Linked DNA regions of Lepisosteus oculatus. The protein of the gene in region 3 purifies or fractionates together with the protein of the main gene of each other region. This does not show direct contact. Links are inferred from orthologs where the notes say so. Each region holds a gene or a part of one and is shown on either strand. Other genes may lie near its edges.

Evidence for each region.
Region 1: the proteins of dnaja2a (region 3) and wdr76 purify together in Homo sapiens (affinity purification with mass spectrometry; 3 studies listed by BioGRID and IntAct, with this or other methods). This does not show direct contact. The link is inferred for Lepisosteus oculatus from reciprocal best matches to the Homo sapiens genes DNAJA2 and WDR76.
Region 2: the proteins of dnaja2a (region 3) and llgl1 purify together in Homo sapiens (co-immunoprecipitation; 3 studies listed by BioGRID and IntAct, with this or other methods). This does not show direct contact. The link is inferred for Lepisosteus oculatus from reciprocal best matches to the Homo sapiens genes DNAJA2 and LLGL1.
Region 4: the proteins of dnaja2a (region 3) and pld2 purify together in Homo sapiens (affinity purification with mass spectrometry; 3 studies listed by BioGRID and IntAct, with this or other methods). This does not show direct contact. The link is inferred for Lepisosteus oculatus from reciprocal best matches to the Homo sapiens genes DNAJA2 and PLD2.

Annotation. Positions count from the first base shown.
Region 1 is NC_090700.1:56,865,516-56,873,343, reverse strand, and holds the start of wdr76 (WD repeat-containing protein 76), read right to left. Parts: upstream 3,328-7,828; 5' UTR 3,181-3,327; coding exon 3,097-3,180; intron 2,929-3,096; exon of another isoform or gene 2,798-2,928; intron 2,790-2,797; exon of another isoform or gene 2,321-2,789; intron 1,910-2,320; coding exon 1,763-1,909; intron 420-1,762; coding exon 327-419; intron 1-326. UniProt on the Homo sapiens protein: Specifically binds 5-hydroxymethylcytosine (5hmC), suggesting that it acts as a specific reader of 5hmC.
Region 2 is NC_090714.1:11,061,833-11,069,986, forward strand, and holds the start of llgl1 (lethal(2) giant larvae protein homolog 1), read right to left. Parts: upstream 3,565-8,154; 5' UTR 2,970-3,564; coding exon 2,889-2,969; intron 1-2,888. UniProt on the Homo sapiens protein: Cortical cytoskeleton protein found in a complex involved in maintaining cell polarity and epithelial integrity. Involved in the regulation of mitotic spindle orientation, proliferation, differentiation and tissue organization of neuroepithelial cells.
Region 3 is NC_090715.1:6,801,501-6,809,894, forward strand, and holds the start of dnaja2a (dnaJ homolog subfamily A member 2a), read right to left. Parts: upstream 3,505-8,394; 5' UTR 3,426-3,504; coding exon 3,348-3,425; intron 163-3,347; coding exon 103-162; intron 1-102. UniProt on the Homo sapiens protein: Co-chaperone of Hsc70. Stimulates ATP hydrolysis and the folding of unfolded proteins mediated by HSPA1A/B (in vitro).
Region 4 is NC_090698.1:9,969,896-9,977,880, forward strand, and holds the start of pld2 (phospholipase D2), read left to right. Parts: upstream 1-4,867; 5' UTR 4,868-5,885; intron 5,886-7,873; exon of another isoform or gene 7,874-7,985.

The DNA.
Region 1 (7,828 bases), on a different chromosome or scaffold from region 3:
AATTTTCAGATCCATTATGCAAAATTTAATCCAAGGGCTCAAGTCTGCATCAAGGTCTCTGATTCTGGATCTGGAGAGCTGCAATCCACTTATTCTCAGTATTAACAACACCACAGTGATACGGATTGATTAACCAAGTGACCTGTTCAATTAAAACTGGTTTTGAATAACCTAGCTTAACAATTGCCATTCCTAATTGGCCACAGTGTAATTATTCCAGGGCTTTAGAAATTGGTGATTTAGCGGTGACCTATAAGACCTTCTGGATCCAGGCTCTGCAGAATCAGGGTTCGAGACCTCTGCCCTAGACTGTGCAGAAACCTCACCGGGCCTTCCCACTCGCTGTCACTGCTGCACTCGCTGTCCGACCTGGACCTGCTCCGTGACGCGGCAGGCTCATCCGACGACGAATGTCTCTCCTGACAGACGACAAAGTGCACAGTAAACATGTCGGCTATCATCTCTTCAAATGCTGTGATCAAGCATGAAATTATTTTTTTGTCTATTTATGATTATGTTTTATTGCAAAAGGACATTTTCTATAGAATATTTGCTCAGTTTTTCTTTAATATCCAACACCAAAACATAATCAGTTTTAAAAAGAAAGGCTTGGGCCGTGCACCTAAGCATGAATTCGCAGAAGCTGAGCACGCCAACAAGCACGGGAGAGACAGAATTAGAGGGTTCCCGAGATATCATAACAAATAACAAAAACATCCGTCAGAAGAATGGCCTTTTGTAAAAGGCACAGTTTTGCGACGCACAGAAGGCGTACGTAATCAGCTGCGTCTGCTTTTGATTTGTTTTGTGTGATGCTGGACTCCGTCACTGTACAATCTCCCTTTAATCACTGCAGATCGAGAAAAGTGGGCTCTGTTGAACACCCTCAATCAACTTCTACGAGTCCTGATTTTGGATTCTAACCAAACCCCACCGTGACTGACCTGACTAGGCCCCAGACTTTTTTTGAGGTTTCTATAACTGAGGACTGTGGGTGCCGATTCCCTGGGATCTTATACCTTTAAAGGATTTCATGCTAAAACTTGCTAGTACACTAGTGTAGCGGAGCTAGTGTGGTGACGTCAGCGCCCTCCCTGGGCGCAGCAGGGACCTCAGCTGCCTGGGCTGAGGGAGGTCTCCTTTAGCTCATGGGGCTGGTTCCCTGTTGCGTGACGCCGGAGACCCGGGTTCGCGCCCCAGGTGCTGCGGGACGAAACGGGGTGGCGGAGGGCACGAGCCCGCGCGGAACCGCGACGGTCACACTAGCACAGCCTCACGTAGAATATCCTGTCGGATTTTGGTCACCATGTAATAGAAAAGATGTTGCAGCTCTGGAATCAGTCTAGAGAAGAGCAGCCAGACACATCTGAGAGTTTCAGCGAACGTCCTACACTGACAGACTGAAGGAACTGGACCTTTTTATTTCTTTATCAGAGATGACCCCAGGGTGGGGGGCACTGTCTGTACTGAAAATCCTCAAAGATATTTGTCAAAGAGAACCAAGCAGGCATCTTCAGAACGAACAGTTAGAACACAAACCAGGGGGAATAAGGGCAAAACACTGTACATGGAAGAGCACTTAAAAGAACCGACTCCTTCACCCTCAGAGCTGTCAAGAGTCTGGAACGAGCCCGTCCGGCCTTGTTGGTTAAGCCCTGGCTTCTCCTCGCATCAGTTAACTACTAACTCCCGAGGGGGCTCGATCAAGAAACAGCTGAATTAGATCAGCTACAGACTGGCCATCAGGGGCGAACGGGTCTACCTTTCTCTTGACGCCCTGCCCCGGGGCCGGGTGCGCTTTCCCGGGCGACTTGCGCATCGGGCGCTTGCTGGGCAGGACCTCTCTCGGCACGGCGGCCCCGCTCCTCCCCGCAGCCGCGCCCGGGGGGCTCGGAAGCAGAGTCTGCTCCTGTAAGATGTTTGCAGGCCAAAAAAAACGTTACTCCACTTGGTTAACAGGCTGGGAGGGTGTGTTGCAGTTTTGCGCTTGTGGAGGTCTAAAAACAGCGTGCCGATTTCAGATTTGATCCGTCAGCCTGAAGTTTTCGGCTCCTGCTATACTCGGGAGCACATTCCTCAATAAAAACCACCATAAGGGATTTCAATCCCAGTTTCCCCACTAATAATAATAATAATAATAATAATAAAGTGGCAGGAATCCTCACAACCAAGCACGTTTTAAACGCAAAAGCGGAATGAATCCAGGTTGATTCTTTCCTGAACAGTCACGGTGCAGAGGCTTTTATTCACATCATCTCCCGAGGTAAACATTACTTAAATTAAAAATAAAATGGCATAATGCTGCTCAAATTTGATATACCGCACAGTAAGCTCCCGAAACGGCTTTTTTCCGAGGTACAGTAGAGGGTGTGGAAGTCAGGACAGGTCTATAAGAAAGACGACGCTATCGGAGAGCTCCGAGCACCGCGCCGGGAACCCAGATCCTGCATGACGTCACGCCGCCGGTCCCGAAGAACAGCGGAACTCCGCGCAATGCACTCGAGCGGACGGCTTATTTCTATATTACAAACATTAAACGTACCACTAAATAAAACCAGTTCAAATATGCAATGAGTTTGGCAGGGCTCACTGACGTGTACCACGATTGCCGAGATGCAAAAATAACAACCCCCCCCCCCCCATCTAATCATGGCACCAAGACTTCTTACAGCGAGTTGACAACTCTCTCAAAATACAGATACAACAGTTCTGTACACCGAAAGAAGACGGTCCTGGCAAGACAGTAACTACATTTCCTCCTCAGCAGCGTCTTTCCTTGCGTCGGGGTTTCACGTACAGACCAGCAGCCTTCTTGACTCAGACGCGTCTCAAGCAGACAGAACAAGACCCGCAGCCAAATCCTTGCAGTGTCGTATTAACCTACATCTGCTCTACTGCGGCCGTGGCGTGGTCTACATTGTGTGAAGTCTGCAACGTAATCATCGAGAAGATCAACCTGACGCAGAGAAACACTTGTTCCGCCACTCGTCGGAGCTCCCACGCACAAGAAACAACCACCAAGGTTCAGTATCGGCGACAATTTCTCAAGAACAAAGCTAAAAACCCGGTGTAAACTCCTGTAATGAGAGAACTCACCTTCATTCGTTGTAATTTCACATAAGGAATACAACCGGAGTTAAATTTGCTTTGCTCAGCTACAGACCTCACCGCTGTTGGCATTCTCCGATATTCCTGTCAAGGAGTAATGTGCTTTTATGCGATGTACAAGCAACCTTTCCCGTCCCTCCGCGCCTGCAGCTCCGTTGTGTAAGTTTCAACTCTTCCCGCGGAGTTATGAAACAGTTCCCTCGCGCGCTGGCCCGGCATCAACAGCCGCGTCACGCGTGACGTCACCGCCGGCGCAGCCCTGCCGCGAACAGGCTGGTAGGGGAACTGCAGTTCAACGAGGGAGCTGGCGTGCGGGCGGGTGTCATTGAATCCCTAAATAATAATAATAATAATAATAATAATAATAATAATAATAATAATAATAATAATAATAATAATAATAAATGCTTACACTTATATAGCGCTTTTCTGGACAATCCACTCAAAGCGCTTTACAGGTAATGGGGATCCCCTCCACCACCACCAATGTGCAGCCCCACCTGGATGATGCGACAGCAGCCATAGTGCGCCAGAATGCTCACCACACACCAGCTATCAGTGGGGAGGAGAGCAGAGAGTAATGTAGCCAAATCATAGAGGGGGATTATTAGGAGGCCATGATTGATAAGGGCCAATGGGAAATTTGGCCAGGACGCCGGGGTTACAACACCAGACCTCACCTCAGATCTAGTGTGAAATGTTAAAAAAATATAGGAAATCTGCAACGTGCTTTCCAAGGCTACGTGTTTGGAAACCTGCAGTATATTTTCAATCCGTTGAGATTGGCTGTTTAAATTGTATTTATATGATGCTAGTATAACAGTGTTTGTCAGCTGGCTGAAAATTTTCCTACAGATGATTTTTTATTGAAGAATATACATCAGAGATCAGAGATGATCCCGGGGGGGCACTGTCTGTACTGAAAATCCTCAAAAGTATTTGTCAAAGAGAACCAAGCAGGCATCTTCAGAACGAACAGTTAGAACACGAACCAGGGGGAATAAGGGCAAAACACTGTACATGGAAGAGCACTTAAAAGAACCGACTCCTTCACCCTCAGAGCTGTCAAGGGTCTGGAACGAGCCTGTCCGGCCTTGTTGGTTAAGCCCTGGCTTCTCCACAATCCAGCCATAGTGCGCCAGAACGCTCCCCACACATCAGCTATCAGTGGGGAGGAGAGCAGAGAGTAATATAGCCAAATCATAGAGGGGGATTATTAGGAGGCCATGATTGATAAGGGCCAATGGGAAATTTGGCCAGGACGCCGGGGTTACAACACCAGACCTCACCTCAGATCTAGTGTGAAATGTTAAAAAAATATAGGAAATCTGCAACGTGCTTTCCAAGGCTACGTGTTTGGAAACCTGCAGTATATTTTCAATCCGTTGAGATTGGCTGTTTAAATTGTATTTATATGATGCTAGTATAACAGTGTTTGTCAGCTGGCTGAAAATTTTCCTACAGATGATTTTTTATTGAAGAATATACAGTATATTGAAGAATTATTGATTTTCCAAGAGCTTTTTTTCCCTAGTTTTGATTATTTTAGACTCCTATTTTTTTCTTTGAGGAATATTTTGTGACTGGAGGGCTTCAGAGACAGATTGCAGAATTGCTCATTTGAAACCCCAGCTAGGGTCAGTGTTAGCATTCACACGCTACTTAGACAATTTTTACCTTTAGCTCTGGATTCTGGGGCCCAAGTCAGTGATCATTTGCTCTTACCTCCAACTTTTTGGAACATTTGAAAGTGTTAACCCATTAGAACTGGCTTTCTTACAACCTTTGATCTGACTCCAGTTTTGGAATACAATCCCTGAACCGTGCACTGCAACATCCAAGCGGCCAAAAGTCTTGAAAAAAAGAAAAAAAAAAGGTTGGAGATAGGAGCAAATTATCAGCCTTCCTAGCGCTGGCTTAGGTCGCACAATCCAGCCCTGATCGTAAAAATGTTCTATGTAGTGTGTGAATGCTAGCCTCATCCGTAGCTGGGTTTCAATTGAGCAGTTCCAGAACCTGAGTCGTTCGTCTACCTGTGTAGCACCATTCAGGAATCAGGGAGTTCCAGCATGGAAGTACTACGACAACTGGCAATTGCGCCCAGCTGCATGAAGCAGCTCGAAAGACATGACTGGAGATCCCGCATTATAATAATAATAATAAACTTTATTTTATATAGCGCCTTTAAAGGTGGCTTCTCAAAGCGCTTTACAGGATGACAATAACAATAAATAAGAAGACTACAACAATAAATAAGAAAATTTCACAAGACAGGACACAATTATAATTACAACAATACAACAATAACAATAGAGGAGACCGTGGAAGATGGTATTAAGAAGAGCAGAGGGGTGAAGAATGGAACCAGTTAAGTAAAGGCTTTACTGAAGAAGAAAGTTTTGAGTCTGGATTTGAAGGAGTTTAGAGAAGGTGACTCTCTAATATCCTTGGGTAAAGAGTTCCAGAGCTTGGGGGCATAGCAGGAGATGTGCATTAGGGTCGACCACAATTTTTATGTGCTCGGCTGGACGCATGCGACATGTGGTGCCTGGGGAAGATCCTGCAGATCCCCTATGCCAGACACGCAACGCATGCAGAAGTTCGACGCACCACCGGTTGCCAACCAATCTCCCAGTTGATCGATCTCCGATATTCCTCTGCTTCTTCGGCCACATGGCAGGAGCTGCCCCGTGTCAGGATCTTCATCATCGCGCGACAGCTGCGGGCGCTTCAGAAACCCCAGCCGGCTGGAAGAGACCAAGGGGCAGACCCGGCCGGACCTGGCTTCACACGGCTGAGGACAACCTGAAACCTCTGGATATAGGCCTGGACACGGCTTGGCAAAGGTGGCTGATGGGGGCGGCTCCTCCGCAATGAAGCTTGCCGATCATGATGATGATGATGATGATGATGAATCAAAATTTTTGCGAAAGTTCCTCAAACCAAAAGATATGATTCTAAAGCAATCAAAACTAATAATGTTTCTTTATTAGCCCTATACAATTTCTTGCATTAGGAATGTGTCTTTTTACATACCCCAGCTTTTTCTCCATGGAGACACAGACACAGAGACAGGGAGAGAAGCTGGGGGTCAGAGCGCAGGGTCAGCCATTGTACAGCGCCCCTGGAGCAGCTGGGGTAAAGGGCCTTGCTCAGGGGCCCAACGGAGTAGGATTCCTCTGCCGGCCGCGGGATACGAACCGGCAACCTTCCGGTCACAGGTGCAGATCCTGAGCCACAGGGCCACCGCTCCGCCAGTTATTGCAAATGCATGGTCTTCAATAGAACAGGTTATCATTATACTGCACCTTTTGATCTTACTCAGTTTTCAAATTCCTGAGTGCTGCAATACCAAACAAAGGCAGCCAAAAGTCTCAGAAAAAAAAAAGATTCAGATAGGAGCAAATAATCACTCGTACTCATGTTCCCTTGGCACCCAAAATCCAGCACAGAGCTTCAAAACTGTCTAAGTAGTGTGGAAATACTGACCCTGATCCCAGCTGGGGCCTCAGCAGAGCATTCCTGCAAACTGTCTCTGAAGACCTTCGAGCGAGTGAAATACCTAAAAAACATACTTAACTTACTTAAAAACGTCAGAGTTCTGGAGTGTGTATCAAAGGAGAACCTAATAATGCCCTGCTGCAGCTGATGTAGTCAGTGTAGTCAAACATCCTTCTCACACAGCTGCAGGAAAGAGAGGGAAATGGATGGAGCTCTTTTAAATAATCGACTTGAACACTGGGGAAGCCACTTCATATTTTCTGTATTGAATTGCAATATAAACATTGAAACTAAGTTCATGTTAAATTTGCTTCACTACTGTTTTATAAAAATAAATAATGGATTACTAATGTTCCTTTCCCAGACCTTGTGTTGTATCTTAAGCATTCATACAGTGACATAGCAGTCATTTACTGTACGTGCCTCATTAGTGATTTCAAACCTTGTATCTCCTTGTAGTAACATTGTGTATAACATGGTCACGATTTACATATTACCACTAGGTGGCATTATGCAGCTGTCTCTTGAGTCCTCACATCGCTGTGTACATTCTCACAAGAGAAAGAATCAGAAGGGAAAGCAAAAGAAAATACCTTGGGTTAAGTTCCCATGCTATGAAAAAAGTACTAGTTATTCATAGCTTTCGATTATGTAAAGTCTATTGACTACTTATTGAGATAACAGCTTTAGCTTTCTGATAAATTCTTCAGGATCATGACCAGTAGATAAATTCCTAAAACTGTTAAAGGACATTTGGTAACAAGCAAATAAGTTTCTATGCAATCCCTTCCACTTGTTTTGAGAACATAAACTATAGTGATCCAGGGTCATTAAGAACTTGTTTACTGTTGATTTAATACTGTAGACCACCTCTTATGAACAGTCATGAACACCATTTGACTTCTAGAACACAGGTTATCCAGCTTCCCCCAACATTAGACTATTGCATTTGTATTCACGTGGTAGTACTCAAAATGTACACATGCATCTTATAGATTGTGTCCACAGGTATTGCCTGTGAAATGAAAAGTGATTCTGGAATAAATTACATTTAATGTAGAGTGAAAAAACAGACAAACTGTAGAAGTTTCAAACCCCAACCCCGGAACAAACATTGCATCTTAGTTATCCAGATACCTGCTCAGGGAACTGTTTGCTCTAATAGTTGAAGAAAACAATATTCATTTTCATTTTTTAGAGCCCGGTTATTTGCACCAAC
Region 2 (8,154 bases), on a different chromosome or scaffold from region 3:
CGCCTCTCACAGACCCAGCCAGTGAGCCCTGTTTCGCGGCACCAGCAGAATAAGCACCTCCCTGATGGATTAAACCCCTGTGCAGTCTGACGATGGATTACCCTATGTGACATTTTTAAATGCTACAATTAAATATTGATGGAGGACTTCATTAACATCAGCAGAGCAGAACTCATCAGTAAAACCACTGTGCCCTTTGGACTGGTTGTATTTCATGTGGCTCTGTGCTTTCTCTCTGCTGCTGGAGAAGAGACGGATCGATGCTGTTCAAGGGATCTTTTATTCCACGCAGAAAGGGATGTTACCCTATTCCTAGGGTCACCTGTGGCACAACAGGGCCCTGATTTACCTTCGGATTCAGAAATCGGGCAGCTCCTCTATCTCGAGATTCCACCCCTTCTCCAGTCTTCCTAGATGCATCTCCAAATTTCAAATGCATCAGACTTGGATTGAAAATGAATGCCAAACCCATTGCCTAACCAATGTTATTGCCAGTCAGAAGGAGAAAAGGGATGTTCTTGAACATGCATTCATAGAGGAAAAGCTGTGCCTTTTCCCAGAGAAGCACAAACATGACAACAAACAGCTGACATCACCTCACAGGACCCTTAGTCATCCATCAGAAGGAGACAGCAATGTGTCACAGCTCACATTGTGCAATGAAGTACTAAGGGCTCATGGACACATTTCTCCTCCCTCAGTCAAGCCCCCCAACCTCCCAGTGGAGGGGTATCTATAGAAAGTTGGAAGACAAACTCTCCCCCCATCAACAGCAGAAAGAGGATCCCACAGAAATGCAGTCCGCAAAAGTTCCACTTGCCAAGATCTGTGGTTTTGCTCAACAAGAAACTATACTTCCTGCTCCTGTAACACTCCATTCATCACTCTCTCTCTTTAAAAAAATCACGTGAGGTACTTGTGTGAACCGAATACAATGTTTACATAGCGCAGTGGGTAATGCGAAGCTGCCTGCAATAACTTTTTAAAATATTGAAGCAATTTTTTTAACAGGGTTTTAACTTAAACATGGCCCTTTGTCTTAAAGAATCCTAAAGGTTTTTAACACAAAACAACTTCAATATTGTCATAAATACGGCAAGGGCACACGATATATGACAAACAGAACATCAAAAGAATTGATAAGCACTCCAACTGCATTGTAGCACAGGCAAACCAACAACAGTAGCACAAAACGCACGTTTTGTTGGTTGCATTTACTCCCTGTGGAAAGACGAAGGTTTTCAAACACATTACCAACCATTTGTCACATCAAAGCACAGGTTTAGAATTGTTACCGGTGGGAGTACACGCTATTTGTTTAAGGAAAAATGCAATAGTGCATTGAACTCCCACTCCCACATAAAAGCACACGGAAACTGCCTTCCCCCAGAAATAAACAGTTCTCTTAAACGTTCAACATGATGAGCACGTCCCATATTGTTTTTTTAAAGACCGTCTCTTTCCCCCCTTACGAATTACAATCTTAAACCAATATACCACCATGTTGCCCTGGTCACAACTAGTTTAATTTAATAAAATTATCTCGATCAAACGCTATAAGGGATGAAAACACTAGCGCTGGGAATCAGTTGATTTATAAGAAAAAGAAGTGCCTGCAACACTCTCAAAAAGAGGAACAATACCCCCCCTTTAGGCATTTCATACATTTGACAGAAACTTGTACGATTATCCCAAATACACCTCCTCACAGAACAAACTGCGCGAGCTGGTAGAGACGTGTTTTGTGGGCAATGCACCCCTAAACTGGTTGCTTACTGGGGTTTGAGATACACAAAATACGCAGAAACTCGTAAATTGTTTGCATTTTTTTCTCGATTTAAATTTACCACATAGTGCCCCATCAGAGCCATCACACTATAAAATGACTCATACTAATGGTATATTCCCTGCACTTTAGGTGCGTGTCATTAAACGATGTTTTAACTCCTCCGTAAAGGACAGTGTATGCGGTTATTGTCCGTTTTCCCACTGTAAATCCATTCAGGCGAGAACAACAGTTAATTTGGACATGAATGTGAATGGAACAGTTATGAATGTGCTGGAGCACGCGTTTTAAAACACCGAGCTACTTCGCTACATGATGCAAATAAACAAGGCGAAATAAACTACACCTACTCATATATACGGTATATATTAGCCAGCTGGTAGGTTGGACGAGAGACCAAAATTTGTTATAGAAGCATTTCGAAGGAATTAAAATGTAGTTAAAAATGCTAGAGAAACGCAAAGTACAAACCGAGAGCGAATCAGGATAGACCGATTTTTCTCAATAGACCGATAAAGTGCCTTATTAGAGTAACGGGTTTTGACGACTGGTCTTAATATCAATGGTAATAAACATGAAGGGGTGAACTGAAGGAAGAAACACAGATTTGTAAAAATATATGAGGAAATGCAACTTCTCTCCGCGTCCATCGGCGTGTCTAACTCCTAAGAAACTGCAGCACTTCAATTATTGTTAAACCATGTTCTGCAGCACGAGGAAACTAATCGATTTAGAAGCACACATTAAACCCCCAGCACTGGTCAAACTCCAGAGATGACACATTTTCCATGACTTTCACAAACTAGGAAGGCGACAGACAACAACACACGAATCCCCTAGCCGTACGCAGATGCAGAGATTTGTTCTCAGATTAGCGGGACCGTTAGACTGCAATTTTTCCCAGCTATGCCCTACCTTTACACGGGTGCTTAAAAATAAGATAAATGCAGATTGTATGAACGTCTCCTCACATTTGAAGCGTGCATTAAAACTAAAAATGCCCCCCCCTTTTAACTCTCAATACAGTTCACTGATACAATACGAGTCGGCATGCTTGCCACCAGAAAGAAACGGACGTCTTTCCCAAATGTTTCAACGTTACCTTATTAAAAGCAAAAAGGTCCTGTTTGATTTTCTCTCTTTGGGGATCATTCCCCTGTCTCCTGAACCTAAACTTCATCATCCTGAAGCCGGTGGGAAAATTAGTGAGAGCCAAGGGGAGAAAAAAAACCAAATTGTAAATTCCTTCTCAGGTTTGTATCAGTGCAAAACAATGAGATCCCATAGACAAGCTCCCGTTTCTTTGTAGTCTGTTCTCAAAGGCTGCAACTGGATACCGGGGAACTGGATACATTTCCGTCCAGATTGGCAACTGCTACAGCCAATTGGATCGGGGAGTTTATCTACCGGGATCCAATCAGAGAGGAGATGCTAGTGGGCAGGTCCGTAGTGGTTGATTACAGGAGACTGAACCGTGTGAGGATATTGTTCCAGCATCTGGGATTTGTAGTTTCGTCCCCGCTGCTCTCCTCAGTTTGCTTTTACAGTTGCGTTGCTTCACCAATGTGGGTCACGGGTGCCCAGCTCAGTGCGTACAAGAGAATTGCCACAGCTTTGCTTTTGTAACGAAGCAATAACGATAGCAGGACGACGAGCGTTGCGCTGATGCGGAATGGGTTCCTTCAGTGCTTCGGTCGCGCAGAGGTGTGTGTGGCGACACTGCTCCGACTGTAGAGAAACACGCTATTGCACTCACCGCAGCATCACGGAATAGTGTGATGCGCCACGTTTCTGCAGTGATCGTGAGTCCGCAGAGGGAAAACCCCTCTGCGATGGGGAGGGGGTTCCCTCCACGGTGTGTGTGTGTGTGCGCGGCTGAGGGATGGGCGAGGAAGAAGTTGAAGCCCCCTTAGACACATAACAGGCTGCGGCGCTCACGCATTCCAACCGCACCTCTGCAAAAGGAGAGGGGTTACCGAGGAAGGCGGTTTTACAGCTGTGCTGTGAGGGAACTGCGGTATTTTGGCATTTACCCCTCGTTTTACAATTAAAATAGCGTTATTAATTTTCTTCTTAAAGGTAGCGCGCTTCTAACACGTGTAACATTTTCTGGGGTTTTCCTTGCTGCGCGCATCGGTGCTTTTTACAACACAGCTGAACCATTGCAATGCGCCACACACACCGAGCAAACTGTTCTTTTTAAAGCTGAAAACATCCAGCTCAAGGCTGTGTTTAATTGGGGGGAAAAAGGGCCCTGTAGCACACGACAGAACACAGTTCTTATAAGTATTAATTACAATTGAACACGGAAGATGAAGACCAGATCTCAGTTGCTGAAAATGCTGAGGTCTGTAGGCGGCGTTCCCCCGAGCAGGTGAGAGCAGCCTGCTGTGCGATTCAGCAGCGACTGGAGAGAGGCGGGGGGGTGTCACACAAGTTAATATTGTGGACACATACAAACCACTGCAGCTCTGCTCCAGACAGGAAGGAGAGCCAGTCAGCACCTTCCTCGGCCTCGTCAATCTCACGCTGCAGGATGAGTCTTTTGGCAGCGAGAAGCGGTTGTTTTCCTGTAATGAGTAACGCTGAGCTGTCAGAAAACACCCCCAGCGCAGTCAGCGCGTAGTACAGGAAGCTGAGCTTAGACGAGCGTGTTTAGGTTTCATTGATATTCTATTGATGTTCAATTTACTATGAACTGAAGGTTTGTGGGATTTTAATAAAGCACCTATACACAGCAGTAATGACACCGACCCAAACCTGCTGTACTGTGTGTGCATGACGGCTTTGCCAAATACCTTTTTATTGTAAATTGAATATAAGCAGGGCATGAATCTTAAACCCCTTTTCTACAAGTTAATCTTGTGCATCTGGGATACTTCACGCGGATTTGTCTTCTGTGAAAACCAATCAACTACGAACGCATTTTCACGTCAAAATGCACGCCTGGTCTGCTGCAATTTCAAAACGCGTCAACCGTCAGAGAGGCAAGAGACTGCGGCGGCATTCTTTATTGATCACGTTAGGCTCGGCTGCGGTTTTTCTTTTTTGCTTTCCGAAAACGTCATCACGTTCAGACGTCTTGGCAATGAGAATGTGTGTGTGTTTTTTTTTTCATTCCCAAGGCGGGAGGAGAAGATGTGTTAAAGCTGATTTCATTGAATTTACAGCACAGCCCACACCGTAACGTTTTATGTCCAATAGGGGGGTATCTGCAATATATTTTACAAATGAGCGTGAATTTGAAAAATCGCAGAGATACATGCTGAGTAAGTCCCATCATTCACAGCATCCCTCTCCAGTAAAGCCCCGTTTTCATCTGTTTCTGCTCTTCAGGTTGGCAGGTCTGGAGGGGCGGGGTGGAGAGGGACAGTCTGTTTACGCAGAGCGCTGCTCACATGAACTTGACACTAGGCAGGCTTGGATCACAGCCAAGGCCGGGAAGCCAGAGGAACTATTCCAGACCCGAGCTATTCGGGGAGTACGCATTCCTATCAATCAGCTGCACGAAGGCTAATCAGCAGCGTTTCACCCCCATCGAAGGTGAAATGCCCGAGAGCTGGAAGAGAAAAAAACTGAAACGAGAAGAAGTGGCAGTTCTTCACGGCTGCGGCTGAACCGTGCGCCTGGCGTCCGCTGGCCGGGGGCGCAGACTCTCTGATTGCTCGACTTCTGATCGGCGTTTCCCGGGGTCTGGCGATGCTCTTTCTCGCTCACACTCCACGGCTTGACCTGAAGCGGAGACATTAACCAGAACCCGAGAGTACAACAGCCTCTGCAGTCACCCTCCCTCCCAATGTATCTCAAATGCAGTACGTTTTTGTCTGGTCTCATTCCAACACCTCACGACTCTCACGGAAATTCGTGCTGGACTGTGAAGCACACTTCTTCAGCGTGGGGAAAAAATAAATGTGTTTCTTTCAGACCCATGAAATCCCCTCCCTTTTTGCAACTGCAGAATTCGCTTACGACTGGGCTGTTAATACGGGTCCCATTCACCACACCCAGTCCATATAAAAATGTTTCATAAAATGTGAAGCAGAAGAAAGGCTTGTTGGGAGTAAATGCTTAACACGCCTTTCCCGCCCAGTTTCTAAATCTGAGTTTTTTCTCAAGGGTTAATCATTGATAATGGTAAACTACTCAGAACACAACTCCGCCGTCCTGGGAGTTAAGACTTCGTTCCTTAACATTGTTTTAACGTCTGACGCCCCCTTGTGGCAAAAATAATAAATATTTTAAAAAGAAGGCCGATTGCTGTTGGCGCCCTGAGGTTAAAAGTTCCGAGCTCGAGACTTCTGCCCTTAGAAAGTCTTTAATGTAAATAACCACACGATTTAATGTGAAATCGCTTCGAAACAAGATCTTGTATTTTCTTTCAAGATTAACATGGAAATAAAAAAATTCAAAGTTCATTCTCAAAACAGTCGACGGGATAATTTGCTGTATAAATGATCAAGCCTTTATCCTTAAGTCATTAGAAAACCATTTTATTCCCGGTGTTCACTGTGTTCAAGGGGGTATTACAGCATGGGCAGGACGGCATTGAAGTCAGAAACGACGTCAACTGAATTGAGCTAATTCAGTTATGCCCCAGTATAGTGACGGGGACACTATACTGTAAAGAAAAGGCGCCGTCGTTCGGATGAGACGTAAAAACCGAGGTCCTGACTCTCCGTGGTCATTAAAAATCCCAGGGTGTTTCTCGAAAAGAGTAAAGGTGTTAACCCTGGCGCCCTGGCCAAATTTCCCATTGGCCTTTTCCAATCATGGCCTCCTAATAATCCCCATCTATGAACTGGCCTCATCACTCTGTTCTCCTCCCCACTGATAGCCGATGTGTGGGGAGCGTTCTGGCGCACTATGGCTGCCGTCGCATCATCCAGGTGGGGGCTACACACTGGTGGTGTGGAGGGGAGTCCCCATTACCTGTAAAGCGCTTTGAGTGGAGTGTCCAGAAAAACGCTATATAAGTGTAAGGGATTATTTTGTACTGTGTATGTCCCGAGAGATCAGCGCGATTAATTCTAATATATGTGTACATACGACAATAAACTACTCTCTACTGATGTTTCACTGGTGATTCTGAAGACGTTTAAGCAGGCGCCTTGGAGGATTATGAATACTTGGATCACAGCTTTTAAGGGAGGGCTTTTTGAACACATGGGGAAGGCCCTCTTCCTAGTGTGGTTGACCAAAGCTGTTTCTCATCACCTGCACCTACCCTCTGTTCCCTATACTTTCCGATTGTGTCCTCTGGATAACTGTGGATTCCGAGGACATCTGTAGATTTGACAAATACCTTTGAAGATTTTGAACACTTGCATCAGGCCCCCTTGTCGTCTTCTCAAGTCTTTCATCCAAGAGCTGTCCAACACTTGTGCTGGAGGACTGGTGGGTCTACAGGTCTTTTAGGTTCCTTTGAAACAGTAGCATCTGAACAGTGGGAAAGGTGGGTGAAATGGCCTATTAAAGTCAATCACAAGCCAAGGAAGGTCAATTAGATTTCAGCTGGGATGAAAAATGTGCCAACACCTTGGCCCTGCACGAATAGGACTGGTCAGCCGTGTCTCAGCCCGCCAGAGTGACATATTCCTTTGAGCCCGGGAACGGACCGGGTTGCTCTTTCCTGATTGATTCCTGAGCAGTCACGTCACTTTTCTGTGCTTGGACTCAAAATTGAACCCAATACAAACAGTGCCTTGACATCTTGAATCAAAAATTGTCAGCGCCTGAGTTGAACATCTTATCCGAGCCAGTATGTCCTTGGAAGGTGAAGGGATACGCTGAGTGCTTGGACTCCCCCCAACAAAAAGAATAAAAACATGCAAACTCCACATAGAAAATGCCTCCATTCAGAGAAGTCCAGGACTCGAGAGCTGTGAAGACGCAGTGCTGCTAGAATCAGGTGAGTGGCGTCTCTTTAGCTGCTGATACTTGGACAGGTTAATTTGAGACATTTCAAAAATATTTTTCACTTGCATGTACATAGAATATCACTCATTTCACTTCACAATTGCCCTGCTTTTAAATTTATTAATGAGAAGCACTTATCCTACCTTTGATGAGATTATGACCAGATCAATATTATAAGATATGCTGATTTAACAAAACCAAACCAAAATCAAAAGCGTCTTTCTGCTTTAATTCAAACAAAACTTATTACACTTATGAATACAACCCTTATATAAAACTCACTTTGCTTATTGAACTATTTGTAAAGAAAAAGACCAATATTTCCCTGGATTGCTAATCATGTGTGCCTGTTATATTATATCAAAATGCTCTTCAGCAAAAATACATTTTGTTGTAAGATCGCATACTCCACACAGGGAGACAGCTGTACATAAAAGTCCCATACACAATAA
Region 3 (8,394 bases):
AACACCCTGTTAACGTTCTTTAGATTTTACAAAATCATACTTTTAGGGAAGTTCCAAATAGTTTCCATCAAGCAGTTCGCATGTAAAAACTCTTCTCCTTACCTTATCTCCAGCATTTGGATTCTTATCAGGATGGTATTCTTTTGCTAACTTGCGGTATGCCTAAAGGAAGAATATAATAAACAATTTTAGTTTGCGAGCCACTATACTTGGATTAAACCACACAAATCTAATAAACGTGGGCTGATATGCTCAGATAAACATAAGCAATAATGTTAACCCTGTGACAAAACACAAATAATATGCTATGTTTTCACGGGAGTTAGTCTTACTGTACTCATGACATTGTCTGAGATAACACTGCAAATATTTTTATACATCTGCAAACAGATGTTCCAAAAATAAAACATTGTCAGTATGCTTGGTTAGATCATACTGCATATATTGCTTAAGGCCTTTAAAGCACAAAAGGTATTCTTGACTGGTACAGACCCCTTATCTACAACATGAATAACAAAATCCATTTCCCAAGGGTTTTAGGCGTTTTCAGCATTTTTCTACATCTGAAGAAATACCAACTTAATCTAATTACTTGCTCAATTAGACATTTAAGACTTTCCAACCTACTGAGCAACCAAGAGATCAGGGAAATCAAAGTTGGTAAGACTACTGTCACTGAATACCGGAAACCAGAAATACACAATATACATTGTCTTAAGTAAAATTCAAAAACTAATTCAACTGACACGACTTTAGCTCAATGTACTCACTAGGGACCAACTGATCTGATTTCATAGCTAGAAATAAGATTAAGTATTCACATATGAATTAACAAAAGAAAGTACATTAAGAATTTAAACTTGAATTACTGAATTCGTTTCTTAAAAACCCAGAATCAAATGTACTGATATATCGATAATGTTTCAGTCATCTAATAGCTACCTTAAGCCTCGAGGTTTATAGATGCTTCTGGAAGTTATGCTAATTGCCACCAGCTGTTAAAGAACACAATGAGCACAGAACCACTAAATACCACATCATGGAGAAATTAATAATTTTCTTAAGATCCAACTTAAGTGATTTACCTTAACTTTATAAAAATATCTAGAAGAGACCACACTTTTAACTTGTCTCCATCAAGAATTTATGGTTGGTCAGGAAGAAGATAGTTATACCTGAAAGTGTGTTCAGAAAATTGGTTTGGTGACCTTGTTTGTTAATTCACAGCCAAAGGTAACAATTGTGTATCATTCAAAAAACCCTCAACGATGACCAGGACAAAACTCCTTTAAAGCTTGACCCCCTTAATCTGGAGTCTGTGGCAGAATTCCATGGCATCATAAACACTTGCCAAATGGCAACCTCCCAAATCAAACGGTGCTAAACAATGCGATTCCATGGAAACAGATCTCAGATAATCATAATACAGTGACATGATTAATACAAAAATAATTTCATGTTGATAAGGAATGGCATCCCCTTCATCATCAAGAACAGAATTACATTCAGTGTCAATGCAGTTTTGCATCCTCTTGTAGCATAGTAGTGTCCTAGGTAGAGCTGGTAGAGTGATTCCCAAGGTATTCCAAACACAAATTGGTGCCTAGAAGATTAAGCTTGGCTGCAAGTGGATTTTACAATAGCCTGTGTCATGTTAAAATAAAGCACAAAGCTCTACAATGTTCTGCTAGAGACTGATGACAAGTTGTGGCACCAACTGAAGAAAGCAGAGTTAAAATACAGACTATGCAAAATACTACAGTAGTCAAATATCCCTGGAAAGGTTATGAATACAGAGGCTACCATATTTTAAAAAGAAAATAAGGACCAATAGGTACAATATAAACCCTCACTCAAAGTACTGCGATCTTCAACCAATGTCAAATGCAACTTTGTAAAACTAAAGTAAAATCTAGACAGCTCAGAATATAGCCAGCAGTTGTATCACCCTGCAACTCACAATTGACAATCCACTGTAGCCAAGCAGGTGTGATGCTGGCCAGTACCTGGATGCGAGACCTTCCAGGAAAGCGAAGGTTCCTACTGGAAGAGATGTTAGCGGGGCCACTAGGGAGCACTCATCCTGCAGTGTGAGGATCCTAATGCCACAGTTTAGGGATGGGTACACTATATTGTAAAACTGTCCTGACCTTTGGATGAGAAGTAAAACCGAGGTAATTAAAAATCACATTTCTCAAAAAGAGTAGGGGTGTTGACTGTGGTGTCCTTGCCAAATAATACCCCCAGCCTTTACCAATCATAGCCTCCCTATGATAATCCCCATCTATGAATTGGCCTCATTACTCTGCTCTCTTCCCTAATGATAACTGATGTGTGGTGAGCATAGTGGCGCACTCTGGCTGCCATTGCATCATCCAGGTGGGGGCTACACTTTGGTGATGGTGGAGGGGAGTCCCCATTACCTGTAAAGTGCTTGCGTGAAAAGTTCTGAAAAATTCTATAAGGATCCACCTGGATAATTTGCACATTCCTACAACTTCCCCCTTCGTGGGATTCACAGGAAGTAAAACCAGAATACAAAGGTAGCCTTCCATGGGCAGGAGAACACCACTTCGAAAAATGGGGTAGAATTTAAACGACTGTTTCACAGCTCTTAAAACGACGTAATTTTAACCGGCTTTTTTTCCTGGAGTTTGATTTGTGATTTCTCACGCCCTTCGTATAGAAATAAGCGGCTCTCTGAATATTTGTGGCCCAAACACGTATATAAAAGAGAGATAAGCAGACGGCCGCACGATATCAACCGAATATTTTCATGTCAAAATCGCAATAAAAACAACGAAAACGATTTTAATCACCAACTTACAGCGGCTTACCAGCCATTAACGAGTTTTATAAATGTAAAAAAAAGAGTCCAGCATTTGTTTACGTCTACTTAAAAATGATTCCCCTCCTCCGAGAAGACCTGTCGTTCTCAGCAGTTTTGGTTCAACAGTTTTACCTAAAATGAAAACCAACCTTAAAAAAAAAAAATCGAGCCTCGTTTCGATTAACTTATTGTGACCACCTTTCCTCTTCAAAGGCAACAACCTTACACGGAATTCAAATAAAGCGATGTGAAACCACAACTCACTGAAAGGTAACGCCGGGTTGAATGACAAAGCAGTGTTGCACATAAATAAAGAAGATGATCACAAAATAGCCCGGCAGTGAGTTTGTTTCTTTTTTCAGTTGGGCCCGGTAGTGTCTTACAATGGATATGGATAATGCTGCTAGGCCACATTTATCAACCCCCTGCTTCCTTCTTCCTAAAGACTTCCCCGCAGTTTGCGACGCTAAGGTAACCGACACCAGCGAACACACTTAATGCTCCCGTTCCCTTGTACCTTTTTCAGCTCGTTTTCAGAAGCACTGGGGGGCACCCCGAGGATGTCGTAGAGTTTAGTATCAACGGCGTTCGCCATGATGGAGCACAGAGAAGGACCTTCTGCAGGGGAAGCGGAGGAGAGAAAGAGGAGCCGGCCGGAAACGTCACGCGCAACGAGTCAACTTTAACCTACCGGCTCCTGCGTCACTTGTGTGCCGTTGTCTCACGTGATCGATGACGGAGCCTGGAGAGGCACAGAAGTGCAGGACGAGGTGGGAGCTGGGCATTGCTTCGGTCCTTAGAAATTCATGTTCATGGCATACTGGAGGTGGAAGCGCTTGCTAATCGTGTGAATAAAAACAGCGCAAGATACACGCTGTTTTTTTCCAGCGTATTCCTTGTCTTTAAAAGGTCGCTGTATTTGGCGTGATATATTTTTATGATTTTCTGACATAAAATAGATGTTTAAAAATATTGATTATTTTCATTGTAAACAAAGCAACGCAGCACGTAAATCCCAACGGGGTACTATGTATTATTTCCATGCGTACAGTTTTGATCTTTAAAGAGGTCTAACGTTTTGAATAGTGAAATATAATTGACTATAAAACACAAAAGCTCCTTTTACTGTTGTTGCTCTAGAATTGGAATGTGGTGGAATATATCTCCATGCTTGTAGATACGTATGCCCCAGGAAAATACTCTGGCACTGACTCAGGACTGTGTATTTAGTCTAAATGTTATATAAAAACGACTGAGAATGTTACACAATCCTTTCCCTCTTGCTCAACATAGTGATCATGACTAAAGAGCATGAATTGAAATGATGTGCACCTTTTACAAAGACTTGGAGCAAGAAACACTTTTCCACAAAGGAACAAACTAAATTCATATTGTGGATGTTGAGTCTCTGAGAACATGAAGAAAATTGTGATGGATTTCTGAGGTCATTAAACTTCTACAGCCTGATGAACGAGATGACTTAAATGGTGTTCTGCTCTCATCTGTAACGTTTATAATGTTCATATTTTAAGGATCGTGCCAATTAGTCCAAATGAAAAGTGGTTTTGTTGCCTGTAATAAATTAACAATTAGCAGGCTCTGCCTCATTTAGTCATAAAGACTAAAATGATCATCAATATAAAATGTTCTTAGTACTCTCCAAGCTGGTCAGTGATTATAGATAGTACAATGTGGGCAAGCAGTATTTAATTTGTCTTACCCATTGGTAAAATGTCTCACATTTAAACATCTATTGACTTAAAAATAAATTGTTGGTTTTACTAGTTATTTTCACATTTTAGGCAGGATAAGTACAAAACTGTGATCATTTTCCAGGAACTTTAACTTTGTTCTAATGCTATCCTTATTTTCATTATTTGATTGAATTTCCACTTGAGAAATTAGTTTAACTGTACAGTACATACACCTGTCAAACTGTGAAATATTGTAGTTATAAATCCACCTGCACATCTAAAGAAAGCATAAATCCACTCTTGAAAGTAAATCTAGGATAAATACTCAGTATAATGTAAAACAATATTTTATATTAAGTTTACTAAGCTGTGCCTACACACTGATTTAATAGTCAAAGTATATAACCCTGCAGATGTGAAAAGTGTATAAGCAAACACATTATCAGTACTGGTAAATTACATTAGAAGTGCAATTCTGGAAGCACTACTTCAAGCGAAATGAGAACCTGTTTGATTTACTGAGAAATGGTTTAAATGACTGACAAAGTCCTGATTCTGTCAATGTTTTTTTTTAAAGCAATTTACATTAGGGGACAAATCATATTAGAATCTCACTGAAACGAATGTTGACAAAAGAGCTTTTTGTATACACAGATATAAACATACACAGGTGTATGTGTATAATGAAATGGCTTATTTCTGAATGTATTGTTGATTTGGAAGAAATCATTCTTTACCTTTCCATAATATTAAGATACAATTTTTTTCTTTCTTTCATAATGCTGTTTGTGACACAAAAGACAAACTAAGTACTCCAAACTTTAAACTTTGATGTAGTCAAAGTTGACTTAAAGTAACAGATCCCATCACAGCTGAAAGTAATTGTACTAAAAGGTGACAGTAAATGATTCAGTTTGCTGCAGCTTAATGTGATCTCTTAATATAGAAATAAGTTAAAACAATTTATGCTAATTAAGGAATAAGTCACTAGTCAGTGCATGCCTCGTTAGATTAAGCAAGAAAATAAAATTCAATAATAAGTTGCACTTATATTAGAGTGTTTGTGTACAGAGAGACAGGATTTCTAGAACAATAAAATATTTTTTCAGTAGTGCTATGTCAATTTTAAGATTTTTTTAGCTTGTAAGACAATTTCTATCATACCCTTCTTAATGTTACATTCATTAATGTTACATGCACCAGTTACTGAATTTGAGAGTACTGTACCAGTTTATTTACATTCCCTATCCTTATTGTGTACAGTATCAGTTACATTTTAATTAGCAGTTTTTGAAAAAATAAATTAGCTTCTGTCTTTCCCATGAGGTTTGACTGTGATATATATTTTGAGCACCAAGAGAAACATGTCACTGTTTTTAGCAAAAATAAAGTACAGGGATTTGGACTACTGATCGGGAAAACCACAGAAACCAATATGCCCATCAATTACATTTTCTACAGTCAGTTTGTTAGAGGAATGGACTCCTCCAGAAAAATAGTCAGCGCACTTTTGCTTGCAACTTATACTTATTACTTAAAGAGCAGAGTAAAATGTTTGATGTACTGTAATAAAAAGTGAAAGTGCAGGTTCCATTCATTAGGTGTCAAGCATTACAGCTGAAAGCTCACTTAAATAATCTGTAATCTCAAAGGATTCATTCATAATTAAAGTTAGAGATTAAATTAGAACTCCTTAAAAAGGTATGCTTTTTAATAAACCCCTCTGAAAACTAGAAAATACATTCACACTCAGCAGTATTTTTGTAGGGCTTTTATCCAGTATTACATCGAGCCTGTTCTGTCAAGCTTTGGGCTGAGTGGTTCATTCTGTTGCTCAGTTTAGTAGCCTAATCATGCAGTGCATCGTGAGTTCTTGAAGGTTAAACAGGAAGGCACACTTTTTCTATCAGCACAGCTCCAGATGTACAATAAAAACAAGTGATAAGGGAATGATGTATTGTTGCTCTCCTGGCCTAGGATCAATAGATTTTGTTGAGATAATGTTTATAGGAAAAAAGCTACATGTAATTTCTGTGTACTATTTATTGTCAAACTCATCAGAAACAATACTTGACATAAATAAAATGAAAATACAAATCATTCAACTTCACTGTGAAGTCATTTTTACATTTTTCTCTTCAATGCATTTTTTTTTCTGGTATAGGAAATACAGAATCCAGTAACTGAGTACAGTAGTACATTTTTCATGTGCAGTTCTGTATGAAATTGTTCTAAAGGACTGAAGGGTGAAGAAGATAAAAGTTACAGAATGTAATATTTGAAAGTTTATTATTAAAAAGACAGGTAATTGTATATTAAAGCAATATGGAGGTAAAGACGTTGTAGATGAGCCATGTCAATCATGTCAGTGTGGATGGCACTGAATTAAGAGTTTAAAAGAAAGGGCACCTGCAACATAACCTGGACAAGCACTCGATACGTTCTTAACCATAAACCGAAATCATTTTTGGGATGTGATCCTCTCTGATTCCCTGTTGTTCCCTGATTTCCTGTTGTTATTTTCAGGCTACATGAAGTCAAAATGTGTAGAAATGACATAGAAATGATTGTCACCTCCATTCTGTAGAGCCATGCCATATTTTGTTTAGTTGAATATATTATTAAAGGAAATCACATTTTGGAAAAATGAACCTAACTCTGCAGTTACATAGAGCAACATCTGCAAACCACTGAAGCAACACTGACATTTCAATAGAACAATTTTCTAGGCTGCTGGAGGATCTAATAGCTGGTAGAGAAAACTCTAAATACAATTAATTAACACTCCATGTAGTATAGATACAACTGTGAAAATGTTGGTTAAAACAAACAGAGAAGTTAGAAATTTGTTATGATAACTGAGAGTAGAATGTTTACTTTTCATCATTGTGTCAATGTAGATAAGCTCTATATGTGCGCTTATCAAACACCTGTGCTTAAAGCAGGCAATCAAGACAAATACCTAATACCACGATGATTTAGTTTAGTCCATAGGCTTAGTCTCAACACCTCCACACATTTTCTTTCTCAATAAGGACAGAATTAAATAGGAATTAAAATTCTCTCCTTTTTGTCACAAAAGAACCAAAAAATGTTATTACAGAGTGGAGACCTTCAGACTAGTCCATTGGTAATCACAATCTGGGAACATTAAAGGACCATTTTTATTGCCATATGAAGACCTCTAAAATTATGTACTTATTTTCTTACATTAAGGCATTTCTGGGCATTAAAGTGGAATGGTAGTCAGCACTGCCATTTCACAACCCCTGGGTGCTGGGTTTCATTCTGGCCTGGGTTGTCTTCTTGTGCGGAGATTGAATGTTGTGCCCATGCTGTCCAGTATGTTGAATTTAATGTTTCCTGGGTTCTCCAGTTAAAGGTCCAAAGGCATGCTCTCCAGGATAATTGTCATTTCTAAATTGTCCCACTGTACGTGTGTGTGTATACCCTGGCATAGACTAGAAAGCTTTAAAAAGTCAAATGTGCTATGAAACTCTTTGAATGAGGAGTAAAATTAAGAGCCTGCTCTTCTCTGCCTTTTCTGTGAGTGCACCTCTTCACTCACAGGACTGATAGCTGACTGCTTTTAAACAGTCAGAATGGGTTCTAGTTTCATCAAGTAAGTCTCTACTTTAAACTTTTTGGATTGGGCTTTTTTTAGATTCAAATAGAATGCAATATCAAAGACTTTGTTATGATGTTCAAAGACATCTCAATAGGATCACTGAAAGCAAATCAAGCATGGGGGATGAAATGGACAAATCAACGACTGTACTGAAATACAGCTCACTCTTAAATGACACTCAGTTCCTGAAAATCCTTATATCTCTTAGAACTACTTTTTTACCTCTTTTATAAGTTTATAGA
Region 4 (7,985 bases), on a different chromosome or scaffold from region 3:
CGAAGCGAGTGAGCACCAGGCAGGCTTGACGCGCTGCATTCAGGGGAGCCATAACACCTCTACAGAAAGGGGCAGTGCATCTCGGGACTGAGAATGGGAGGCTTGTCTTTACACACAGAGATGTGGGTGGGTGGAACAAGCTGTCCAGGCTACGGTGGTGAAGGGGGGCCCTCTGGGGTTCTTTGCTAAGAGATACCTTAACTTGTGCGAGAGATGGAGCCTGTCTCCTCCATCGCTGGTTAAAAGTGTCTGCCGGACGCACACCTGACAGCCGCTCACACCGCAGAAAACCGGGCTGTAGAAGTGCACATGCGCGGTTCTTTCCGCAGGGAAGCGGTCCAGAGCACTCTCAGCGAGGAGAAGGGGGGTGGGTCCGAGTTTACGAGCTGGCTTCAAAATTAACCGTCACTAGGGTGCGGTTTTGGCTGGTAAATCTTAAAGGTTTTTTGTTACCCAGGCTGACCCCTGTAACTCTCTCCGGCCCAGAGATCTACAGTTTACTGGAATTCAGGACTCACCGAACCCACCCTCCCCCACACCCGCCTCAGAGAAGTAGAGTAGCCCAGAATTCAAGATGCGCCGAAACCAGCTGTCCGACCGGTTTTCAGACTCAAAAACTTATAGTGCCGACGATGCAAAGTTCATCCCTAACTGTTAGTCTGAATAAAATGGCACCACGAATCTGTCTTACTTGCCTTCTAACCCGTGTTTTTGGGACAGAGCGGTTACGCAGTGTCTCCATCTCTGGTAGAGAAGGTGACCGTCACCGCACACGGGAGAGAGCAGCTCTCGCCGTGCTGTCGTGTGAGCAGAGCTGGCCGGCGTGGAAACCCGCCGGGACCGATCGAAGCGGGGGGGGCATGGAAACGTGCCTCCCCGGCCGAGTTCCTGGCGCTTCGCGGGGAGAGCTCAGATTGTCTCGACGGGGCCCGGGCCTTTAATGACCCCGCGGCAGCGCTCTCTCACGGAGTCGGCCCCGTGGGAGCTGCGTCCCGGGGACACAGCCGTGGCAGGTGAGCCTGTGCTCTGATTAGAGCGAGGCGCAGAACTGCTTCTCAGGACAGCCCGGCCCAGCCCAGAGCCTGGCGGTGCAGGTCGATCGTCCTGCGGGGGTCGGCGTGTGGCTGGCGGGCGTGATGCTCTGTTATGTCCCGCTGGAGCTCTTCCTGCCTGCCTGTGGCTTTCTCGCTTTCTCTTGAGGAGTTTAGCTACAGCTCTCCTGCCCCAGCGGGGCTCGCTTGTACCGTGGGGAAACGCGTTTTACTACAGCAATGCACAGTACAGTACAGTGCAGTAAGGACTTCCGAAATCAGGGTGAAAGAACAGTAAAGAGCAGTCGCCAGCACTGAATGAGGATTAGAGCGCAGTAAAGACCAGTGAAATAAGGATGGAAGCAAAGAAGAACAGTAGAAACTCGAAACACTTGTAAATGAAAGCTATGGTCAAATGTAAGATTGGATAGCCCAGGGAAGTATTCTATGACTAACACTGAAATGTACCATGGTAAATACTCTCAGGGCCTATAAGTCCCGTTCTCGTTTATGATTCTCTGTAAACATATCTGCTTTGACTATGGATAACGAGCCATAGTCAGCGGTATGGTCTGTGTCTCACAACCGAGAGACCCAGCGTGTATGGACTGACCTCCTCCCCCCATCCCCCCTTCTCCTTCCTCCTTCCTCCTCTTCCTCAGCCGGTGATACCAGGGTAGTGACTGGACCTGCCCCTGTAGTGTTCCGGCGTTTCCATGGAAGCGCGGAAGTCCCAGTGAAGGGTCACAGTCTGGGCTGTAAGCACTCCGGACGCCCCCCCGAATAGCGGACACCTGTGCCACCTACTGGCCAAACACCAGAACTGCTGGTGTAGCACGGGGGGGGGAGCTTCAGAAACAGCAGAAAGCGTCATTCCGACACAGCATTTAAAACTATGTCTGCATCCCGGTTGCTTTGTCTTTAACGCTCTCTTGAGCTGCTATCCAGTGTCTCTCTGTACAGTCTCTATATCAGACTGTCTAGCTGGGCCTTTACAGGGTACAGTCAGGCTCTAAGCAGTTTCAGGCTTGTTCCACTAGGGGGCAGCGTGTGATTCCTGTGCGACATTTCCCTTCTGTCGGTGGTAGCCATAGCAACAGCTGCAGCCAGATCGCGCCGCTTGTTTCTGTATTTTACTCTTCATTAGGCTTTGCTGGACACTTCGCTGCCAAACGTTAATGAGCAGTCAAACCAATTCCCTGTTCTAAAAAGAGCCGTGCGAATTCTGGATACTGGGAGCAGCAGCGCTCCAGCAGCTTGCCTTGACCCCAGACAGCTGCCAGGACAAGCGGAGCCCACTGTATTATTACTGATACAGTGATACTCAGGCTGGGACAGGAGATCACACACTGTATTATTAATGTTGAGAGACAGGCCCACTGTCTGTTCCTCAGGCTGGGACAGGAGATCACACACTTCATTATTAATGTTGAGAGACAGGTCCACTGTCTGTTCCTCAGGCTGTGACAGGAGATCACACACTGTATTATTAATGTTGAGAGACAGGCCCACTGTCTGTTCCTCAGGCTGGGACAGGAGATCACACACTGTATTATTACTGATACAGTGATACTCACTCCCTGTTCCTCAGGCTGGGACAGGAGATCACACACTGTATTATTAATGTTGAGAGACAGGCCCACTGTCTGTTCCTCAGGCTGGGGCAGGAGATCACACACTGTATTATTATTATTATTGAGAGACAGGCTCACTGTCTGTCCCTCAGGCTGGAACATGAGATCACACACAGTATTATTATTGATACAGTGATACTCACTGTCTGTTCCTCAGGCTGGGACAGGAGATCACACAATGTATTATTATTATGGAGAGACAGGCTCACTGTCTTTTCCTCAGGCTGGGACAGGAGATCACATGCTGTATTATTATTGATACAGTGATGCTCACTGTCTGTTCCTCAGGCTGTGACAGAAGATCACACAATGTATTATTATTATGGAGAGACAGGCTCACTGTCTTTTCCTCAGGCTGTGACAGGAGATCACACACTGTTTTATTATTATTATTGGGAGACAGGCTCACTGTTCCTCAGGCTGGGACAGGAGATCACACACTGTTTTATTATTACTGAGAGAGAGGCTCACTGTCTGTTCCTCGGGCTGGGACAGGAGATCACACACTGTATTATTATTATTGAGAGAAAGACTCACTGTCTGTTCCTCAGGCTGTGACAGGAGATCACACACTGTAATATTATTGATACAGTGATACTCACTGTCTGTTCCTCAGGCTGTGACAGGAGATCACACACTGTATTGTTTTTATTGAGAGGTGGGCTCACTGTCTGTTCCTCAGGCTGTGACAGGAGATCACACACTGTATTATTATTATGGAGAGACAGGCTCACTGTCTGTTCCTCAGGCTGGGACAGGAGATCACACACTGTATTATTATTATGGAGAGACAGACTCACTGTCTGTTCCTCAGGCTGTGACAGGAGATCACACACTGTATTATTATTGAGAGACAGGTTCACTGTCTGTTCCTCAGGCTGGGACAGGAGATCACACGCTGTATTATTATTGATACAGTGATACTGTCTGTCCCTCAGGCTGGGACATGAGATCACACACTGTATTATTATTGAGAGACAGGCCCACTGTCTGTTCCTCAGGCTGTGACAGGAGATCACACACTGTATTGTTTTTATTGAGAGGTGGGCTCACTGTCTGTTTCTCAGGCTTTGACAGGAGATCACACACTGTATTATTATTATGGAGAGACAGGCTCACTGTCTGTTCCTCAGGCTGGGACAAGAGATCACACACTGTATTATTATTATTGAGAGGTGGGCTCACTGTCTGTTTCTCAGGCTTTGACAGGAGATCACACACTGTATTATTATTATTATTATTATTATTATTATTATTATTATTATTATTGAGAGGTGGGCTCACTGTCTGTTCCTCAGGCTGTGACAGGAGATCACACACTGTATTATTATTATGGAGAGACAGGCTCACTGTCTGTTCCTCAGGCTGTGACAGGAGATCACACACTGTATTGTTATTATTGAGAGGTGCTGAGGAGCAGATAGTGAGATAGGGCTCACTATCTGCTCCTCAGGCTGGGACAGGAGATCACACGCTGTATTATTATTATTGTGAGACAGAACAAGTCCCCTCTCTCCCTTCCTTTCTCTGATTCCCTCTCCCAGTGTCTCCCAGTGACATCCTGTAACTCTGGATCTCCCTCTGTTACTTCCTTTCCCTCTCTGTCTCTTACTGTGTGTCAGTCTGTATTCCTGTCATGTGAGTGTGTGTGTCTGTATCCCTGTCATGTGTAAGTGGAAGCCTGTGTTTGTGAGTCTGTGTGTGTAGGTCTGTATTCCTGTCATGTGAGTGTTTGTGAGAGTCTGTGTGTGTAGGCCTGTATCCCTGTCATGTGAATGTGTGTCAGTCTGTATGTCTGTCATGTGTATGAGCGAGCCTGTGTGTGTGTGCCTGTAAAGAGGTGAGGTCCATCAGGTCTGTTGGGCTGTCCTGTGTGTGTCCTGCCCACAGGTGTGTCAGTGGAACAGCCCTGTGAATGATGTGCAGATAGACACACATACACAAACTGGTCTGCAGCAGCTCGGAGCCGGACTCCTGACCTCGCCCTGTGATCTGTGTGCTATCTGAAGGGATATTCTTGCTAACTGTTCATTTTGTTAAAAACCTGAATTGAGTGCATTATGTAAGTGACCTAACTGAATGTCTAAATCTATTTTAAAACCAAAATAAATTGATTAGTCTCGGTCCGCTGTAATTCTACCCATATCGCCTAGTGGTAGTAGCAGGGTGTATCGAAGCCTATTGCAATCTGTTGCGTGACTGTATACAACCGTGTCCATAAAGCAACGCCTTTGAATTATACAGTGTCAAACCGTCTGACCCCAGAGGTCACGAGAGGGTGCCCCGTGCGCGCTGGGGTCTCGAGAGGCGCGAGCCGCCGATCTCCCCGTGGGCACGCGCGCGGCGCCGGGCACAGAACCAGCAGAGACTCGCGCAAAAAAAAAAAACCAAGAACAAGAATAAAAAAAAACACCGAATTCAAGACACTTCTCGGGCGGAGCTGTGAGCGAAGTATAGCCTACGTGGGCAGCAAAACGACAGGGACCTGCCCGTGGCGCTGAGACCGAGAGATAGAAGGAGGGCGTCTGCGCCCGCAGCGGGGAGATGGGGCCGACCTGCTCTCGGAAAGCCTGTATCCCGGGATAAAGTAAATTCCGCCGCTGGAAAACTAACGAAGAAAGGACGGAAAGGGGGCTGGGAGAGGGTGGGCACCGGCCGGAGCCAGGAATAGCGGCTCTGCCAAGCCTGCCGCCCTCGCCTGTGCTGGTGCGCATCGGGACGCGCGGAGGACGTGGACCGCTGATTGCAAACAGGGGACCCGCTGGAGAGTTCGCGATAGTCCGCGGACACGCACGGCCCTCTGTCCCCGAGCGGCTGTGACTTCCTTAATTTTTTTCACTCTCGGTCGCTGCAGCCCCGATCCCTGCGATTGAGGGTTATTTTCAGGAGTGTCCCTGCCGCCCGAAGTTGCTAAGCGTCCACGGCGTGTCCACGGATCGTCTTACCGCCTCACACGGCGACCTGCGTGTTTTTTTTTATTCTTTTGGCAGTAACTCAAAACTGACACGTCTAATTCCTCATAAACCTAACTGTTTTCTTTTTAATTGACTTTTGCCGTCCTCGCTGCAGTTTACCGATGTTTGTTCGTGGTCTGGTCACGGGGGTGGACAGGCACAGTCAGGACTGAACGCACAGGGCTCGGGTGACTGCAGGGACGTCTCCAGCCCGGAGTCCCTCCCCCCGGCTCGCTCGGACCTTGCGCTGGACTGGCTGTTTGAAGGTGAGCTCAGTTCATATCCTGTCCGTTTTACCGCCGCCGAGTTATCGAGTATCGTGACTATTGCACGGACAGACCGGGACTCCTGCCAGTGTGGGGCTGAATGGCAGAACATATCCAACAAAGACAGTGTCTCCTGCCAGACAGGCGCCCCCAGTGCGGTCTGGGACTGCGGGTGAAGATGAGAGTTTGGGACAGCGGGTGAAGATGAGAGTTTGGGACAGTGGGTGACGTTGAGAGTTTGGGACACTCCAGGGTGTGAGAGTTTGGGACAGCGGGTGAAGAGAGTTTGGGATGCTCCAGGGTGTGTGAGTTTGGGACGCTCCAGGGTGTGAGAGTTTGGGACAGCTGGTGAAGATGAGAGTTTGGGATGCTCCAGGGTGTGAGAGTTTGGGACAGTGGGTAAAGTTGAGAGTTTGGGACACTGGGTGACATTGAGAGTTTGGGACACTCCAGGGTGTGTGAGTTTGGGACAGTGGGTAAAGTTGAGAGTTTGGGACGCTCCAGGGTGTGAGAGTTTGGGACAGTGGGTAAAGTTGAGAGTTTGGGACGCTCCAGGGTGTGAGAGTTCGGGACAGCGGGTGAAGATGAGAGAGGGCACATGGGCGGGTGTGTGTGCATATGAGCCAGTTTCCCCGAATGAGTTAAGACCCATGATGACTGGAAACTGTGTGTGATCTCGAAAGGCACATATAACACTGAAATTCATCATCACAAGAGTGAGAGTCAGTCCTGTGTGGTTTCAGTGGTATTGAGCTCAGTTAGCACAGCAGCTGATGCACACATTGCAAGAGGTGACATACAGAGACAAGAGGTACTGTGTCACACTGAGAGACAAGAGTTACTGTGTCACACTGCGTGCCTGTCCTGTCCTTTGAGAGTTTGTATTGTTTTATGGTGTGTTTGTGATGCTTGTCCTGTCCTTTGCTTTGTGATCAATTCTTTCTTAACGCCTTGTAGGAGGAAGTCAGTTGTCACAGTGAAAGTGAGTCAGCTGTGTCCTGTCTTCCCATACCTTTTGGTAAAGGCTAGTTAACAGATCCCAGTGGCCAGTCTCACACCTGCTCAAAGGTGCCTTTTAAGCACTGACACTGCAGTGCTGCATGTGTGCAATATATACTGTCCCACTTCAAGCACAGAGGACCTGAGTCTCTGGTGGGGCTGCACTTCACAGCTGATCTGAGAGTGGTGGGTGCGTGGAACAAGCTGCCCAGCGGTGTGGGTGAAGCAGAGGCCCTGGGAGCCCTCAGTAAGGTGCTGCAAAGAAGGAAAAAGGGGGCTACAGCCTGGAAACCTCACAGACAGCAGGCTCAGTCCTCGAACCCCTGTTCAGCAGCTAGAGGGCAGTGCTGGGAGAGGAGTCTCAGAGTTTGTTTCATTTCCTGGCCATGAGCACCATCTCATCCAATCAGAGTCGCCCATCCACCGGTTTTCTAACTGCTTCCTCCAGCTGGAGCCCGTCCCAGCAAGCAGTGGGCGCAGGGCGGGGTACACCCTGGACAGGACACCAGTCCATCGCAGGGCAGACACACTCACACCAGGGCCAATTTTCCCAGCAGCCCAGTCGGCCTCCCAGCAGGTCTGTGGAAAACCAGAGCTCCCAGAGGAAACCCACACAAACAGGGAGAGAACATGCAGACTCCACACAGACAGACCCTCAGGTCTGGAATCTGAACCCAGGGCCGCAGCACTGAGCCACCCTGCCGCCTGCTCAATCAGAGGGATGGTGGAGACAATCTGTGACCACTGACTCGCTGTTGATCCAGAGGAGTTCCTGGCTCCCAGTGTCACTGTGGGGATCCCAGAAGGCCAGAAGGAATGAAGGAACCTACCTTCCCATGTCACCCCCTCCTACCTGCCCAAATTATAACATCCACTGTGCATCTTCCCCCACCCTGTGGGCGCTCTTCTTTTACACAGAGAGTGGTGGGAGTGTGGAACAAGCTGCCCCCCTAGCCATATTGGTAAGATCCTCAACATCTGTTTTCTTTCAAGGAACAGCTGGTGGAGATCCTCAGATTAATTCACTACCTATCGAACGGGCCTCAGCTCCCTTGTAGAGACGCTGGAGGGGCGCGACGCGTCCCGTTGTTTCGGGTATTT